3 linked regions of the Oryctolagus cuniculus genome follow. The protein of the gene in region 1 purifies or fractionates together with the protein of each later gene. This does not show direct contact. Links are inferred from orthologs where the notes say so. Each region holds a gene or a part of one and is shown in the gene's direction. Other genes may lie near its edges.

The links. Proteins that work in one complex are often made in the same cells at the same time.
Region 2: the proteins of LIN37 (region 1) and MYBL2 purify together in Homo sapiens (affinity purification with mass spectrometry; 6 studies listed by BioGRID and IntAct, counting the BioPlex papers as one, with this or other methods). This does not show direct contact. The link is inferred for Oryctolagus cuniculus from reciprocal best matches to the Homo sapiens genes LIN37 and MYBL2.
Region 3: the proteins of LIN37 (region 1) and LIN52 purify together in Homo sapiens (affinity purification with mass spectrometry; 6 studies listed by BioGRID and IntAct, counting the BioPlex papers as one, with this or other methods). This does not show direct contact. The link is inferred for Oryctolagus cuniculus from reciprocal best matches to the Homo sapiens genes LIN37 and LIN52.

The regions. Positions count from the first base shown.
Region 1 is NC_091449.1:19,406,422-19,412,737, forward strand, and holds LIN37 (protein lin-37 homolog), read left to right. Parts: upstream 1-1,736; 5' UTR 1,737-2,109; coding exon 2,110-2,143; intron 2,144-3,631; coding exon 3,632-3,707; intron 3,708-3,869; coding exon 3,870-3,920; intron 3,921-4,192; coding exon 4,193-4,222; intron 4,223-4,305; coding exon 4,306-4,391; intron 4,392-4,479; coding exon 4,480-4,646; intron 4,647-5,321; coding exon 5,322-5,462; intron 5,463-5,545; coding exon 5,546-5,619; intron 5,620-5,699; coding exon 5,700-5,781; 3' UTR 5,782-6,307; downstream 6,308-6,316.
Region 2 is NC_091442.1:15,287,594-15,293,449, reverse strand, and holds part of MYBL2 (myb-related protein B), read left to right. Parts: intron 1-3,650; coding exon 3,651-3,722; intron 3,723-4,501; coding exon 4,502-4,594; intron 4,595-5,856. UniProt on the Homo sapiens protein: Transcription factor involved in the regulation of cell survival, proliferation, and differentiation. Transactivates the expression of the CLU gene.
Region 3 is NC_091451.1:20,266,628-20,272,483, forward strand, and holds part of LIN52 (protein lin-52 homolog), read left to right. Parts: intron 1-2,491; coding exon 2,492-2,558; intron 2,559-4,422; coding exon 4,423-4,506; intron 4,507-5,276; coding exon of another isoform or gene 5,277-5,278; exon of another isoform or gene 5,279-5,856.

The DNA.
Region 1 (6,316 bases):
CAGAGCAGATCATGACGCTGCTCCCCGAGATCTCTCTGGGCTGGGGCGTGTGTGGTAAATGAAGTTCGTTCTCTGAGGGAGCCTTGTCTCCAGCAGTAGAAATATCCCAGAGCATTCTCGACCATCCTATTTAAAAACTTCAGCCCCTGAAGCCTGTGCTGTGCCATAGCAGGTAAAGCTGCTGCCTGCAACACCGGCATCCCATGTGGGCGCCGGTTCAAAACCTGGCTGCTCCACTTCCGACCAGCTCTCTGCTATAGCCTGGGAAAGCAGTGGAAGATGGCCCAAGTCCTTGGGCCCCTGCACCCACGTGGGAGACCCGGAAGAAGCTCCAGGTTTCTGATCGGCCCAGCTCCAGCCATTGCGGCCATTTGGAAAGTGAACCAGCAGTTGGAAGTCTGTCTGTTTCTCTCTCCCTCTCTCCTTCCTCCCACCCCCCCACCGCCTCTGCCTCTGCCTCTCTGTAACTCTGCCTTTCAAATAAATAGTAAAATAAATCTTTAAAAAAAAAAGGTTTAGGCCCCACCTTTATACTCTGTATGCCTTTCTTTTCTTTTTATTGATTTATATATTTTGAGAAAGAGATGGAGTGCCCATCGGCTGTTGGTTCTCCACATGCCTGCAACCACCTGGACTGCCCCAAGCCAAAACAGGGAGCTGGAAATGCAATCCAGTTCTCCCCTGCGGTGGCGGGAGCCCAGCAAGTTAAGCCCCGGCTGCTGCCTCTGCAGGGTTTGCATCAGCAGGAAGCTGGAATCGGGAGCCGTGGATGGAGCCCAGGCACTCCAGTGTGGGGTGTGAGATGAGGCTTCTTGACCACCAGGTGGAACACCTACCCTCAGCCCGCACTCTCTGTCCTGTCACATTTCACTTAGCATGTTTGACTTGTTTATATGGGTTTTTTTTAAGTGTTTGTTTGTTTGTTTGTTTATGTATTTGAGAGAGTTAACAGACAGTGACTGGGAGAGACAGAAAGGTCTTCCACCCACTGGGTCACTCCCCAAATGGCTGCAGTGGTTGGAGCTGAGTGGATCAGGAGCCAGGAGCTCCTTCCCAGTCTCCCACAGGGGTGCAGGGGCCCAAGGTCTTGGGCCATCTTCTACTGCTTTCCCAGGCCATAGCAGAGAGCTGGATCGGAAGAGGAGCAGCCAGAACTCGAACCGGCACCCATTTGGGATGCTGGTGCCGCCACATCACTGTCCCCTACTTGTTTATATTTTTAAACTTTCACTTATTTTTACTTGAAAGAAAGACGGGAACACAGAGTTTCCATCCACAGATCCCATCAACAGCCAGGGTCCGTCCCAGTGGAAGCCAGGAACCAGGGACTCAACCTTAAGTCTCCCAAGTGGCTGGCAGAGATCTGCCTGCCGCCTCCCAGGATGCACCCCGAAGTGCTTTACTTATCCTCCGTCTTCCATCCTCTACAAGATAAGTTCATTAGGGCAAGGATTTTCATCTGTTCACTGCGTTGCCCCAGTACCTAGATGAATACGTAACAGCCTAATAAAGATTCGCTAAATGAATGACGTTGTGCCTAATAAAAGATCACCCAGTAGGCAGTTGGCTCTTAGTGAGTGCTCAGAAACTAGGAAACCGGCTTGATTCCCTGCAAACAGCTAAATGCGTGTTACTAAAACCTGGCACTACAAGTCCCGGGAAGCTTCGCGATGCCCGATCCTTTGTCTCCCATAGTGCCCCGCGCGGCTCAAGCTAAGTTACTACGGCCGAGTCTCGGGAGCTGGAACTACAACTCCCAGGATTCCCTGGTTTGTCGTCGGTTTGTTTCCGGAAATAAGACCCTCTAGGAAGGTGGAGCTTAAGGCTGGGAGTCGACAGCGGCAGCTGTCTGTAAGTCGGGGTACTAGATTGGCAGTTAAATTGACTAATGAGAAAGAGCGACTGCCCAAAGGGTCCTCCCACAGAAGGGGAAGAAGAGGTGGCCGCGGCGGCGGCGGCAGTGGCGGTTGGACACTGCTGGGGACGGGCCCGCGGTCGCCCCGGGAGCTTGCTCTTTGCAATCTCCGCGCCCGCCTCCAGCTTTGATTCGGCGCCGTATGTTCTTTTGAGCTTTCTCTGACCCACCTAGCCAGATCTCGGACCCAAACCATGTTCCCAGTGAAGGTGAAAGTGGAGAAATCAGGTGAGGACGCGGAGTCGGGGGCCTGTCGGGAACACCGGGCTGATCTGGGTCCAGGGGTCCGGATAGGGGGATGATCGCGAAAAGGTGGACTGCGCGGCTCCTCCCATCAGGCTGTCGTCGTGTCGAGCATCGATCGTTGCTGCCAGCACTCTGGTAGTGGCCGGGCAGTGTGGCGCGGGGAGAGCATCCCAAGCCACTCCTAGTTCTGTGCAGGCTCCTATTCTCGGCTCCGCCTCAGTTTCCCCATTTCCAGCAGCGGGCGTGGGTCAGCCCTTGTGTCCCGAACCCATAATCGCCGTCTTCCGGCCGTCGTAGGAAGGTGGGGAAACTGAGGCTCGGAAAGAGAAAGTTATTCGGGGCGGGGCAGGCTGATGGGGGCAGTGGGAGAGGCACAGGAGGCCAAACAAGAAATAACAGTGGGAGGAAGTGGGGACTTAGGGCAGGTCAGGGGCCTAGGTGGCCGGATGCGCAGGGTGCGAGGGGACGGCGGCGAGAACTGTGGGCCCGCCTGAGCACTTTGGATTTGGCTCTGAGCGGAATGAGGAGGCTAGGGCGGGTTTGAACTGAGAGCCGAGTTAATCAAAGTACCTCTCCCGCAGTGCCCCCCCCCCCGAAGAACAGTGGCCAAGTGGTGAGGGGCTGACTGCAGAGAGGGGAGAGGGCGTGGACACCTGGCGGAGGGGCGCTGTGCAGGGGTGGAGGGCTCTAAGCCAGGAGCAGGGTCAGCCTTGGAAGATTCTTTCTCCTAGCGGAGGGGAGACTGAGGCTAGGAGTCCCCGGGGGTTGGGGGTGAGGGGGTTGGGCTGGACCCAGGTGGCAGAGTATGGAGAGACACTCAGGAGGCCAAGTGGACAAGCCATGGAGTTGGGGGGGGGGGAGAGGGGTCAGAAAAAGAAGGCTATTTTAGATGACATTTCCCCGTCTTTAAGTGTTGTCAGCTCCTTCAGCCACACAGAGGGTCTGGGGCCCTGACGAGGCCGTATGAGCCTCTGCCGTATAACTTAGCTTTGGAAGCAGATGGGCTGGGAGCAGATCCCTCTCAGTGCGACTTTGGGTGTCTCGGCACCTCAGTCTCCTCATCTGTAAGGTGGGTTACCAATGGCACCTGTTGGAGAATTGTGAGAATTCAGTGGGGTGAGACAGGTGGTGTGCTCCCAACAGTCCTGGCACACGGGGAGCACTCTGAATAGGTTAACTTCTCATTTTCCTGTCCTGGTAGATGGGGAAGTGTCTGAAGCTTCATGAAGCCTTGCAGCCATTGTGTGGCTATATGTCATTCGGGGACAGCCCAGGAAGGGGGTGGGCCTTGCCTCCTCTCACACAGTGGGCACGTGCGACAGCCCTGGAGCTCAGGGCCCTACTCATTGCCTCAGGGGCCTCTGCCCCTGGTTTGGGCCCGCCCACAGCTGGCCTGCGCAGAGGAGACACATTCCCTGGTCCAGTCCCGAGGCTGCGAGCTGACGCCTGCTTGGTACCCTCTCTCCGCAGAGCTGGAGATGGCCAAAGCCCGGAACCAGCTGGACGCCGTCTTACAGTGTCTCCTGGAGAAGAGTCACATGGACAGGTCGGGACTTGGTCCTGCGTGGGGGGCAGGGGGAGCTCTGGCTGCCTGAACCCTCTCCTGCCCGGCAGGTCCCAGGGGAAGGGAGCTAGTGGACAGGCCACCTGCTGCCTTCCCACGCCGGGCCTTTGGAGCCCCGAGCCAACAGCTCTCTTCTGTTGCCAGAGAGCGGCTGGATGAGGAAGCCGGGAAGACGCCCTCGGACCCCCACGCTAAGTACGTTGTGTTTTGTTTGGTGGAATCTGATATTGCCTCATCCAAGCCCTGACCGCGTGCCCTGGGCTTCCTGAGTCGTGACGTAGCACCCCCACGTACAGAGATGCTTGGTGGCAGAGCGTGGGGTGGGACACGAGGCCCAGGTCTCGGTGGGGTCAGATGGCCATCTCAGGCTTAATCCCAGCGTCCACAGGTGCCCAGGGCAAGGCGGGGCAGTGGGCTGAGCAGTGTGTGTTTAGGGGTCGGCCTACTGAAACCCCTTCTCCCCACAGGGATTGCTCCATTGCGGCCACTGGCAAAAGGTAAGGCAGCAGGGACCCCAGCCAGCTCGGGAGAGGCTCCCAGCCCCCACCCAGGCCCTGACACACCTGCCCTCCCCACACAGGCCGTCTGCGCGCTTCCCTCACCAGCGGAGGAAGAAGAGGAGGGAGATGGATGACGGGCTGGCTGAGGGAGGGCCACAGCGGTCCAGTGAGTAGGCAGTGGCCCTGGAGGGTGGGCAGAGAGCCAGGGGGTGCCACGAGGATGCTCAGGTACCTCCCGCCACGCTCTACCCCAGACACGTACGTGATCAAGCTGTTCGACCGGAGCGTGGACTTGGCCCAGTTCAGCGAGAACACACCGCTGTACCCGATCTGCCGTGCCTGGATGCGCAACAGCCCCTCAGTGCGCGAGCGTGAACGCTCGCCCGGCTCCCCACTGCCCCCCCTGCCTGAGGACGAGGAGGTGGGATGGACAGTGGGCCCTAGTGCAGCTGCCAGGAAAGCAGTGGGTAGACGGGCTCCCTCCCCCTAGCTCCTGGGGGGGACTGGCACAGGTCCCTGTGTCCCACAAATGAACGCAGGGCCAAGTGCGGCACACAGATGGGCTCTTGTAGGCTGGGCAGGCAGAACCCTGGCCTGAGGGGAAAGCAACAGATAAATGTGACCCCCAAGGTAAAGGGTCCCCAAGAGCTGAGAGGCTGGATGGGTTGTTAGTGGCCTGGGGGAGCAGGGTAGATGAGGTTCTGGTATCTGGCTAGAGATGGCAGCCAGGGGTCCCCAGGATGTACGGAGATGACTCTCTGAACTCTCAAGGTGGGGTAGGAATCCCCAGAGCAGACAGGGACACCTGGCCTGGGGAGTGACGCGAAGGGGTCCCTTGGTGACACATAGGGGGCCCCTTAGGAATCCCTGAAGCTGACAGGTGTAGATGGGCATCCCTGGGTGAGGGTGGACAGGGCTTCCTGGCTAGAGAGGAGAAAAAACGGATCGCCCAGGGTAAACACACCTGAGCTCTGGGCTGGGCAAGGTGTCTGCCCTTCAGGTCCTTTGTCACTGGGAAAAGCAGGAGGATGAAGTGGATACTCCTTGCCCTCTTATCTGACTTCCTCGGGCCTGGCTTGGGGCCCTTGTATCCCAGGGTTCAGAGGTCACCAATAGCAAGAGTCGTGACGTGTACAAGCTGCCTCCACCCATGGCCCCTGGGCCACCCGGAGACGCCTGCAGAACCCGCATCCCATCCCCGCTGCAGCCGGAGACCCAGGGCACCGCCGACGATGAGGTGGGTATAGAAGGCTGGCCTGGGGCTCAGGGGGCTGTGCTGGGGGGCTTGGCCACCCAGCCTGGCTCTGTCTGTGCACACAGCCTTCCGAGCCCGAGCCTTCGCCCTCCACGCTCATCTATCGCAACATGCAGCGCTGGAAACGCATCCGCCAGAGGTGAGCGGCCCCCAACCTGCCCCCTCCACCGGCGTCTGATGGACTTGCTAAGTCCTCCCCGCCCCGCCCCAACTCCCCAGGTGGAAGGAGGCGTCTCATCGGAACCAGCTCCGCTACTCGGAAAGCATGAAGATCCTTCGGGAGATGTACGAGCGACAGTAGCGTTCCTGCCCCAATAAACACCCTCAGTTCCACACTGACCATCGTCCTGCCCGTCCTTTCCAGCCCAGACACAAGGCGGCTGGCACAGCTCTAGCACATTTATTAGGGGAGGGGGGGGTCTAGAAGGGAGGGGGAACAGGGTGGCTGGTGAGTGACTCAAAGGGGCAAAAGGTCGCGGGAAATCAGAGTGGCTGGTGGGTTGGGTCCTGGAGGAGGAGAGGAGTGTGGAAGGCGGGCTGCCTAGGGTGTCTGGTCGGAGACCTGGGGTCAAGACAGACTGGTGGGAGGTGGGGAGGGGCCCGGGAACAGCTGTGCAGAGGCCGTCTGGTTGGGGTGCTGGTTGGCCTAGGGTAGGCGTCCAGAGGTGGGCAGTCAGGGGACTTGGAGTCTGGGGGTTTCAAGTCAGAAAGGGGGCCGCAGGAGGGTGGGGTGGCTGGTTGCAGGGGAGGGTTGCAGAGGCCTGGGACGAGGCTGTTGGGCCTGTGCGGTGGGGGCTGCTTACCTGTGGGGGATTACGCCCGCCCCACTGGCCTAG
Region 2 (5,856 bases), on another chromosome or scaffold:
GGAAGCTGGAGCCCAGGCACTCCAGTACAGGTGCCGCTGTGCCACAGTGCCCGTGCCGGACCTTTTTATTCTGCCTCTGTTTCCTTTGATATGTTTAATTTTGCAGGTTTTTTATTTTTGACTCTTTGTGTTTTTTTTGTCTTTAATGTACTGGATGATTGTAAAACCCTCTTCATTGTTTAAGAAGTTTGTTCAGATGTGTGCTGAGCAGATCTTTTCATCCCTCTGGGGTCCAAGGAGGGAAGATGTCACGTGTTCAGCTCCTGCGGCTCAGGAGAATACACGGATTGGTTCTTCATCCAGAGCGGGACGCGCGTCATCCTGGTCTTCGCAGGACCTCGTGATGGCCGGAGTGGTGTCCGATGTGCTCCTGTTGTACCTGCATTCTTGTCTTGCACAAGGCTCATGGCACACGGGGGCTGAGAGTCGCCTGTCCCCGCGAGAGCCGGGAGCGTGCAGATACCTGTGCTAGGAGAGGTGACTTCCTTGAAGGGCTTAGGGAAAGTTCATGGAGAACGTGGCCTTCGAGCCTGGGTGAGAATTTGGAAATTCAGCCCCCAGGAAGACAAGCTGTGTAGAGAGTTTGGGGTGTGTCCCAGCAGGAAATGCCATAGCGCCCAGAGTCTTGGAGGGGAGGGTCCTTGAAGGGGCAGAATGGTTGATGCCGATGAAAAGATAGAATAGGACCAACCCCTGGAAGGCCCTGAGGTTCTGCTGTGAAGTGTTGGGCTTGTTCCACTGGCACTGTGAGTTTTTTTTCCCCCTTCTTAAAGATTTATTTATTTGAGAGGCAGAGAGAGAGAGCTGTCTTCCATCTGCTGATTCACTCCCTGAATGGCCACAGTGGTCAGAGCTGAGCTGATCTGAAGCCAGGAGCCTGGAGCTTCTTCTGATTTTCCCGCATGGGTGCAGGGGCCCAAGCACATGGGCCATCTTCTGCTTTCTGATGCCATAGCAGAGGGCTGGATTGGAAGTGGAGCATCCGGGACTAGAACCAGTGCCCATATGGAATTCCGGCACTGTAGGTGGAGGCTTAGCCCACTACGCCACAGCTCCGGCCCCAGGAAGTGAGGTTTTAAAGCAGGGGAGCCCTGCCTCCTGGTTTGGACAGCTACCCTGTCCCTCTCTACGTCCCCTGGCTAAGGGAAGCTTTCCTTCTGTTTTATATGCACTAATCTGTGTAGGTAGCTAGGAGTAGACATTGGGGCGGCATTGGGCTAAGAGATTGGTGTGGGGGCCTGTGTTGTGGCTTAGCAGGTTCAGCCACAACCTGCCGTGCTGGTGGTTCAAGTCTACTTCCGATCCAGCTCCCTGTTAACACACCTGGGAAAGCAGTGTGGGAAATGGCACAGGTGCTTGGGCCCCTGTGCCCATCTGGGAGACCTGGATGGAGTTCTAGTCCTGGCTTCAGCCTGGCCCAGCCCTGGCCTTAACCCTTTCTCAGGGCACAGTATGGCAGTGTTAAGTATTCCCCATGGTCTACGGGGCAGCAGATCTTAGGAAGCTTTCTGTTTTCTGAGAAATGGAACTCTTACCTTTTGGGCACTAATTCTCTCCCCAGCCCTTGGCTGCTAGGTGCCTGCTTTCTGTTTCTGTGGCTTTGACTGCTCTCGGTACCTCGTGACTGGAAGCACACAGTACTTGTCCTTTTGTGACTGGCTTATTTCATGGAACAAAATGTCCTCAAGGGTTGTCCCTGTTCCATCTAGTATGTTTCAGAATTTCCTTTTTTTTTTTTTTTTTTTTTTTTTTTTAGTTTGCCTTCTTTTTAATTAGAGATTTGTTTATTTACTTATTCAAATGGCAGAGTGACAGAGCAAGAGAGACAGAGCTTCCATCCACTGGCTCATTCCCCGAATTGCTGTTGACAGCTGGGGCTGGACCAGGCAGAAGCCAGGAGCTCAGAGCTCCATCCAGGTCTTGCACGTGGGTGCAGGGGCCTGAGCCGTCTCCTGCTCTGCTAGTCACATTAGCAGGAAGCTGCGTCGGGGCCGAATAGCCCGGGACTCGAACCCACACTTTGATATGAGATGCTGGTGTGGCAAGTGGTGGTTTAATCCGTTGTGCCACATTAGCCTCTGTTTTTCTTCATTTTTTTTTTAAGACTGGGTCATATTTCATTGATGTCTTTACCATGTTTTCTTTGTGTATATCATATTTTTTAAAAATTTTACTTATTAGACAGAAATCTTCCATATGCTGATTTACTCTCAATGCCTCTAACAGCTGGGGCTGGGCCAGACCAAAACCAGGAGCCAGGAATTTCATTCAAGTCTCCTGCATGGGTGTCAGGGACTCAAGTACTTGAGCCAGAGTACACATTGTTAGCAGGAAGCTGGAATAGGAGCAGAGCTGGGATTTGAACTCAGGCACTCTGATATGAGAAAGTGTGTCCCAAGTGACATATTTTTTTTTTTTTAAGATTTATTTATTTATTTATTTGAAAGGCAGAGTTACAGAGAGGCAGAGAGACAGAGAAATCTTCTATCTGCTGGTTTACTCTCCAAATGCCCACTACAGTTGGAGCTGGGCTGGTCTGAAGCCAGGAGCCTGGAGCTTCTTCCAGGATTCGCATGCGGGTGCGGGGGCCCAAGGACTTGGGCCATCCTCCACTGTTTTCCCAGGCACATTAGCAGGGAGCATCGTTGGAAATGGAGCAGCTGGGACTTGAACCGGTGCCCATATGGGATGCTGGCACTGCTGGCAGTAGCTTTACCTGCTACACCACAGCGCCAGGCCCCCCAAGTGCCATCTTAACTGCTATTCCAAATACTCCTATATATTTTATTTCTATAAAATTGAGAAATACTTTATATACAATCAACTGCCGTTCGACGTACAGCTCAGTGAATTTCACAGGTGCTTGTTTACAGCCACGAATAGCAGCAGTCACGTTCCAGAACATTCCACTACCCCCAACACAGTCCTCGCTCTCCTTGCTGTCTCTTTTGTCCGACCACTGGCTTCCTTTTTGTTCCTGTATCTTAGTTCACATCTTCTAGATTCCGTGTGCGTGGAATGATCCGGTATGTCCCCGTTTATGTCTGACCTATCAGGATCCCGAGATGCACGTTGTGTGACAGTAGCTCCTCTTCAGGAGAACGTGTCTTCTGCCTGCTCTCAGTTCTGCCCATGGCTACCCCACCTCCAGAGCCGAGTCCTGTCACCCCGGGCCTGGGTGCAGTATTGGCCTCGCATGTCCACTCTGCCTCCTTCCATCCCCTTTCCTGCCTTGCAGCAAGCACGTTGGAGCCCTTGTCACAAGCCATTGGACCGTAAATGCTCACTGCTCAGATGCCGCGGTGGCTTAGCCTGCTGCAGAGGCGTCAGTTTTGCATGAGGCCTGGTCCCTGCCGTCCCTCCAGAACCATCTCGCGTCCCTTGTTCACTTGAGTCCAGTGTTCCAGCTTTGCGTTCCCATTACTGTGCATCTCTTTGTGTCTCTGAGCTTTCGATGAGCTCTCCCTAGACCATAAGCCCCTCAGGGTTGCTGCCTGCCGCTGTGACTGCCATTCCTGGCGCGCAGTAGGTGGTCATTTTAAGCCGGGATGGAAGGACGGAGCTGTTCTTGGAGGGGCTACTGTTGGGGGCGCCTGGGAGGCGGCCTCCTGCACAGTGTGCGCTGAGCTCTGTCTTCCTCGTGTTGGCAGGATGAGCAGCTGAGGGCCCTGGTGAGGCAGTTCGGACAGCAGGATTGGAAGTTCCTGGCCAGCCACTTTCCTGTGAGTATGGCAGGGGTTCTCGCCGACCTACCACTGTGCCGGGGACAAGCTTCCTGCCAGGGAGAAGGCGAGGGAGTTCTTACCAGTTCCCTCCGAAGGAGAACCACGTAAAAGACGACTGTGTTCATGGGACCTTGCTTCCCAGAGGCGAAGCCTCTGCCCACAGCTGCCTCGTGTGTCCGGGGCTTTGCGGGGTTTGTAGCTGTGGCCAGTGACATGCTTATTTGCATTGCTTCGTGCACTGCTGGAGCGGATGGGTGCTGGGTTCCTCAACAGTGAGGCTGCAGCTGGGGGCAGGTGGTGCTTCCGCCGGCTGCGGCTGCACAGTAAGGCCCTGCAGCCACCCCACCCCCAGGCTGCAGGTGTCTGCTCTCTGGCTTACTGCCTGGGTCCCCAGGGCCACTAGAGGTCGGAGCCACCAGAGCCCTTTTGTCCACTTTGTTCATCTGCTTTTCATCCGTGTGGTGCTTCAGAAATAGAAACACTCTCCCAAAAGAAAGCAGGGATCTGGAACCTCATGAGTCTGTTACAGGCTTGGCAGGGGTGGCTGCCTGTGTGGGTAGTGGGAGGTGATCTTCTACAGGGGCCCGAACCTGTCCCCGTCTGCAGCAAAGGGAAGCCACGCGTGTCCTCGTGTGTGGGCCTGCAGTGTGTGGTGGGGGTGGTGGTGGTGGCATACACTGGGCCCTGAACCCCTGAGCCCAGTGCTCCAAAGGGTCCCAGCCCATGGATCAGGAGTTCTCACAGATTCCTGAATGTTCTTCCTGTTCACTTCCCAGAACCGCACTGACCAGCAATGCCAGTACCGGTGGCTGAGAGTTTTGAATCCAGATCTTGTCAAGGGGCCCTGGACCAAAGAGGAGGACCAGAAGGTAACTCAGCCACCTGTATTCAGTGGGCCTTCACCCACCTGCAGGGCAGCAGGCACCGTTGTGGGCATGTCCATGCACATGAACCTGGGAGTGAGCCAGCCTGCGATCAGCCCGGGTGTCCCCAGGTGTCCAGTTCGAGGCCCCAGGTCCTGATCCAGAGGGTCTGCAATCAGGAGCTGGGGCTGTTGGGCAGAACACTCAGCTTCTTGGTCCCTGCAGTAGGGTTTTTGTGAAGGTTGGACAGGTGATGCACGGGAGGGGTTTGTGTGGTCCCTGCACCAGCTGAGCTTACAGAGGGTGGCAGGTGCTATTTTCTTGTTATAACGGTGACTGTGCCTGGTGAACCGTTTTCCTGGGCACTGAGCCTTGTAAATGCTGTGTCCTTTTTTTTTTTTTTTTTTTTTTTTTTTTTTTTTTTTAATTTATTTTTTTTTGACAGGCAGAGTGGACAGTGAGAGAGAGAGACAGAGAGAAAGGTCTTCCTTTGCCGTTGGTTCACCCTCCAATGGCCGCCGCGGCCTGCGCGCTGCGGCCGGCGCACCGCGCTGATCCGATGGCAGGAGCCAGGAGCCAGGTGCTTTTCCTGGTCTCCCATGGGGTGCAGGGCCCAAGCACCTGGGCCATCCTCCACTGCACTCCCTGGCCACAGCAGAGGGCTGGCCTGGAAGAGGGGCAACCGGGACAGAATCCGGTGCCCCGACCGGGACTAGAACCCGGTGTGCCGGCGCCGCTAGGCGGAGGATTAGCCTAGTGAGCCGCGGCGCCGGCCCTGCTGTGTCCTTTTGATCACAGTCGTGTGAATGGGTACAAGGGGACATCAAGGCTCAGAGTAGGGTGCCCCCAAGCTAGGAAGAGGCAGCACCAGGACCCCCGGGCTATTTCTCAGGAGTCTTCTCTCTGGTTCTTCCTGAAACCAGCCCAGAGAATGCCACTGCACTGGCAGGCGCAGCCCAGGGAGAAGAGGGAGGTGAGAGGACTAGATGTTTTATTATTATTTTAAATTTAGCTATTTTCATTTTATTTGAAAGGCAAAGAGATATTTCATCCTCTGGTTCATTCCCCAAATGCCTACAATTGCCAGGCCAAAGCCAGGAGACAGGAACTTCATCTGGGCCTCCACTGTGGGTGGCAGGAACACAAGTACTTGAACCGTCTGCTGCCTCCCCGGGTGCGCATTAGCAGTAGCTGAATCAGAAGGACAGCAGCCGGGACTCAGACCAGGCCCTTAGACACCGGATGTGGGCATCACAAGCAGTGGCTTA
Region 3 (5,856 bases), on another chromosome or scaffold:
GACTAAGGCTTGAATGGAAGTCTGTCTGATTCCAAAGCCTATGTTCTTTTTTAGACCATGCCATTGAGGATTCTAATATGATGTTCATTGCTTAGCCTTCTCTATTCATTGTGGAGAGTTAAAGATGGCTTTTTTTTTTTTTTTTTTTTTTTGGACAGGCAGAGCTAGACAGTGAGAAAGAGACAGAGAGAAAATTGGTTCACCCCCAAAATGGCCGCTACAGCCGGCATGCTGAGCCAATCCGAAGCCAGGAGCCAGGTGCTTCTCCTGGTCTCCCATGGGGTGCAGGGCCCAAGCACTTGGGCCATCCTCCACTGCACCCCCGGGCCACAGTAGAGAGCTGGCCTGGAAGAGGAGCAACCAGGACAGAATCCGGCGCCCCAACTGTGTCACTCCCCCTCTTCGCGGAGGAACGACACAGGACCCTGCGCTGTTCTTTTGTCTGCTCGTTCTTCCCGGGTTGGCTACCGTCCCTTCCACCTCCGTGGAAGGGCGGTTCCCCCTGCCACTTTCCCCACTTCCGTGGGGGAGCGGCACACCGCCAGCCGGCTCTCCCGGGGGCTGCTCAGGTGTTCCTTCATATAGATGTTCCTTCAGATGTTCCTGGTGCATGTTGTCTCTCTCCTGCTTTATAGTCCTCTTCCACCAATCCCAACTCTGCTACCCACACGCCGAGTACGCTGCTCTCCTCCAATCAGGAGCAGGATCAGCTCCTGCAGGTTACTGGTCAAACTGGAGGCAGCTGTGTAGAAGCTGTTTACTCCTCTCCCAGCGCCATATTGTGTGAGAGCAGATGCATAGAATAAGTCTTAATTCCAGTAACTTAGTCTAGTCCAAGTTGCTCCCCACACAACTGGGACTAGAACCTGGGGTGCCGGCGCCGCAGGCGGAAGATTAGCCTAGTGAGCCGCGGTGCTGGCTGAAAGATGGCTTTTTTTTTTTTTTTTTTTTTTTTTTTTGACAGGCAGAGTAGACAGTGAGAGAGAGAGACAGAGAGAGAAAGGTCTTCCTTTTTGCTGTTGGTTCACCCTCCATGGCCGCCGCTGCAGCCGGCGCACCGCGCTGATCCTGGCAGGAGCCAGGAGCCAGGTGCTTTTCCTGGTCTCCCATGGGGTGCAGGGCCCAAGCACCTGGGCCATCCTCCACTGCACTCCCTGGCCATAGCAGAGAGCTGGCCTGGAAGAGGGGCAACCGGGACAGAATCCGGCGCCCCAACCGGGACTAGAACCCGGTGTGCCGGCGCCGCAAGGTGGAGGATTAGCCTATTGAGCCATGGCGCCGGCCTGAAAGATGGCTTTTAAAAATCTGATCCGGGCTGCTGTTGTGGCGTAGCAGCTAGAGCTGCTGCATGTAGTCAGTATCCTTTATGGGCACTGGTGTCCCAGCTGCTCTACTTTTGATTTGGCTCCCTGCTAACAGCCAGGGAAAAGCAGCAGAAAATGACCCAAGTGTTTAGGATCCTGCAACCCACTGGGAGACCCAGTTGAGGCTCCTGATTTCAGCCTGGCCTGTGTGGCCATCTGGGGAGTGAAACAACAGATGCAAGATCTTTTTCTTTGTAACTCTGGCTTTCAAATAAACACATAATTAAAAAAAAATCTTATTCAGCATCTACATCTTTACCTTAGAGTTGTGCACGTACATATTATTTTGTTTCTAGGGTCCCAAGGACATTCCAGGATGCCAAGTTAAGATCTCCTAGGATAATCTTTCCCCATAAGGGGTAAAATGGTGAATTTGACTTAGAGCCTTCTAAGCCAGGCAGTGTAGACTACTCATAGTGGTTTCTAGATTCAGATTACCTGAACCTAGAAATCCTTTTAAATCCTGGCTCTTCTAGCTATGTGACATGAAGCATCATCCCTGTTCTTGGTTTTTCTCAATTGTAAAATAAGGATAATGCCTACTTGGTTAGGTTGATTTGGTTGTAAATAACATGGTGCATGTAAAGTCTTTTGTTTGGCACGAGTTGGTGCTGCTGAGTAATTGTAATTCTGTAAGAGAGATGGACCCAAAGCTGAAATTACACTTCTCAGTCCATTGGAAAATGCGTATGTGGAATCCCTCGTCCAGCTCTTTCCAGGAGATCCTCTTGAGAACCTGATATTGGAAATCAGTACGTCTGGGATACAGCCAAAGCATTTATGTATTTTTTAAAATTACATAGGTGATTCTCGAGTGCAACTGAGATTGAAAACTGCTGATCCAAAGCTGTTCTTACAAGCAAGTTAGTGTATGCCTAGAATAATAGTGTTAGTGGTCACACCTAATTCTGCTAAGATCATTTCTCCAAGACCAACTTTAAAGATAAAAAGAATTATTCTGTAAGGTGACTATTTGTAGATCATATCAACCTGGATAAACTGAAGACAATGTTTTCAGACAACCTGAAGGTTGTATGTGTGACCAGCTACATTTCCTAAAGGAAGGAAAAGGCGGTCTCATCACGCTGTGTACCTGTCTGAATGGTTATATTCTTATTTTCTGACAGCCTATTACTAGCTCCCCACCCAAATGGATGGCTGAAATAGAACGTGATGATATTGACATGTTGAAAGGTAAGCAACACCATTTATGTTCCTCTACAAATCACCTTTGCTATTGTTTTTTCACTATTTCCTTACAAGTATGAAGATACTTCAAAAAATTCATGGAAAAATGGAATTAAAAATGAGTGTATTTTAGTGCAAAAAATATTGAAATCCAAGATTTGTTACAATTGAAATTAAGTTCATTTTTTATTTTATAAAATCTAAGATTTGTTAGAAAGAATTAAAATTTTAAAGTTCATCTTTTATTTTAAGTCTAGTCTCTTTCCACTATAACACAAGTCCCTTATTTAGGATTGACCGTCATGTGCTGTTGTCAGTTCCTTACCTTAGTGAGTTAAAACCTACCTTTATTTCTTTCTGGCCCATCAATTTCTTCCATACAGAATACCATAAGTAGTGAATGCTGTTGTTTGATAAATGATTTGGAACTTATTCACAAAGTAGAAGTTTAAATTAAAAAACATTAATTTTCCTTGATTTTCCTGTACTTTATTTATTTTTCATCATCCTTCTGGTGATAAGATTCATGATGGTTGTGAAATAATAGACTGAAATTAAAGTGAGAACCCAGGATTCTTGAACTATTTAAGCAGCTGAACAGATCAGGAAGGCTTGCTTATGCCAGATATAGATAATGACTGCAGCATGATAAATGGGAGAAAAAAACCTTTATTTGATTTCAGAAGTAATTCATTGTTCTGTGTGAAATGCTGAAACGTAGATCCCTTCCTCTACCCATGGAAAAATTAAGTTTCAAGGACATCTAAAAGGTTCATTGTTCTAATGTGTGAAATAGTATTTATATAACACCCTATCAGTGTGTATTTCCTAGAGAAACTTTAAATTTTTCGTTAAGGGTAATACCAGTATGTTTCATTTAAATTGACTTGTGTCTTAAACTTAAAAAGAATTAAGTGTTATTTAAATGAAAATCTGGGGAGGTAAGTTGTTATTTTAGGTATACTCTCTGAAGGGAAAATATGTATTTATATTTAGGCTTTGTTTTCTAAACTCATGGAAATGGGGAATAGTAAGCATATTGTTGCTGTTTTATTGTTATTGAAATAATTGTGACTTATAAATGACAAAGGATATAGTGTATATTGACAGGATAATATATAATGACAAGATATAATTTTGCAAGATAGAGATCTGTCAGCAAGGCTTTCTCAATGCTATGTCAAGTCATACAAAGTTTTATATTTTAATGATACACTCATTTTGTGTAATAGACTAAATGAATGGAATAAAAGGCTCTTTAGGGTAAAACACTTCATTTATTATTGTACTTGTGCTTTCCTTATTAAGTGGGTAAGCTCATCTGAGACACTCTGCAATAGTGTAAAAATTCACTGATTTTGTGTGTATGTATGTGCGTATAAGATTGGAGAAAGTGTAAGAACCCATTTTCTACTTATTCAATAGAAATTAAGCTTGAAGGCAGACATTTATGTAGTAGTTAACATGCTGCTTGGCATATCCACATTCTGTATTAGAGTCCAAGGTTCAAATTCTGGCTCCAGCTTCTTGCCAGGATGCACACTGTGGGGACAGTGTGTGGTATCTCAAGTATGTGAGCCCCTGCTACCCATGTGGGAAGTACAGATTGAGTTCTCAGTCCCCAGCTTAGGCCTGACCCAACCACAGCCGTTGCAGGTGTTTGGGGAATGAACTAGCAAATGGGAGATTTCTCTCTCTCTCCCTTTCTGCCTCAAATAAATAAATAAGTAAATCAGTAAATAAATATTTAAGGAACCCATTTTTAAAAAGTAAAAAAAAAATTAAGCTTGAAAAATATTCCCAACCCAAATGAAATATTACTAGAAGATAGTAGGAAGAAATAGTATTGAAATAAATGATTCTGTTTCAGAACTGGGAAGCCTCACCACGGCTAATTTGATGGAGAAGGTACGAGGCCTACAGAACCTGGCCTATCAGCTGGGACTGGATGAGTGTGAGTACCCAGATCCCATTTATTCAGGGCTATATGTTGCACATTCCAGGATGAGTTCTAGTTATAATTCAGAAAATGTCTTTATTAAATAAAGGAAAGTGTTCTGAAGGTAAGAAGTCAATGTAATTTAAAGTCTATCTTTTATGATAAGTATGCTGGAATAATAACTGGACTTACTAGACACTATGTCTCACTGCAGTACGTTTTAAGCAATAGAATGTTGACACAGATGAGCTCAAACAGAAGAGAGACTTTATTATTTCTTAGTTTGCATAGTTTTAAAGTCCAGGGACAGAAATAGGCCTGAGGCTGTAGATCCATGACTTACTGATACGAGTGGGTGTGCTTTTGTTCGTCTTAAAGCTTTGCCTCACTTGTGCGTGAGTCACATTCTTTGCTGCTGCAGGTAGCTTTTTCCTGGCACTGAGGAAAGAACTGCAGTTTATGTGTCTTTAAATATAATGATTCCAAAGGAAACAAAGAATGTCTTTTTCTGAGTATTCCCTCCCCACCCCAAAAAAACAGTTCCCGGGGAAGACTCAACTGTGTTCTGTCTTGGCTCACAAATGCACCCTTGGACCAGTTGCTTGGCCTGGTGGCCTGGAGCACTTGGCTGGACCATCCTGGGTCCTGGATGCAGCTGTAGACTAGAAGGGCTAGTCTGACCCAAATGACAAAGGAAGGGCTATACAACAGACTAAAACATACCTGCTGCTATGAGTAATGCTTTTTTTAAGAATTATTATTATTTTTTTTTATTTATTTGACAGAGTTATAGAGAGACAGAGAAAAAGGTCTTCCTTCTGTTGGTTCACCCCCCAAATGGCCGCTATGGCCGGAGCTACACCAATCCGAAGCCAAGAGCCAGGTACTTCTTCCTGGTCTCCCATGCGGTGCAGGGCCCAAGCACTTGGGCCATCCTCCACTGCCCTCCCGGGCCACAGCAGAGAGCTGGACTGGAAGAGGAGCAACCGGGACTAGAACCTGGTGTCCATATGGGATGCTGGCGCCACAGGTGGAAGATTAACCAAGTGAGCCACGGCGCCGGCCCCATGAGTAATGCTTTAACATTTTCCATTTATATCTTTCTGTTCTCCATTATTTTAGTTTAAAGTCATTCCCTTATAAATTGTATACTTTCTTATAGTATGTTCATTATAAAATTGGAGAAAATTTATAGAAAATTCTCACTTTGTAATTGAAAAACAAAATACTAAATGTAAATATAGTGATTATAGCCTATTCTCAAAGGGTATCTTCTGAGACCTTCATAAATCAACATTTTGAGAGTGCTACTATAGTTTGTAGTGTTCATGAAAAATTTAGGTTTGTAGCAATCCCACATAGTTT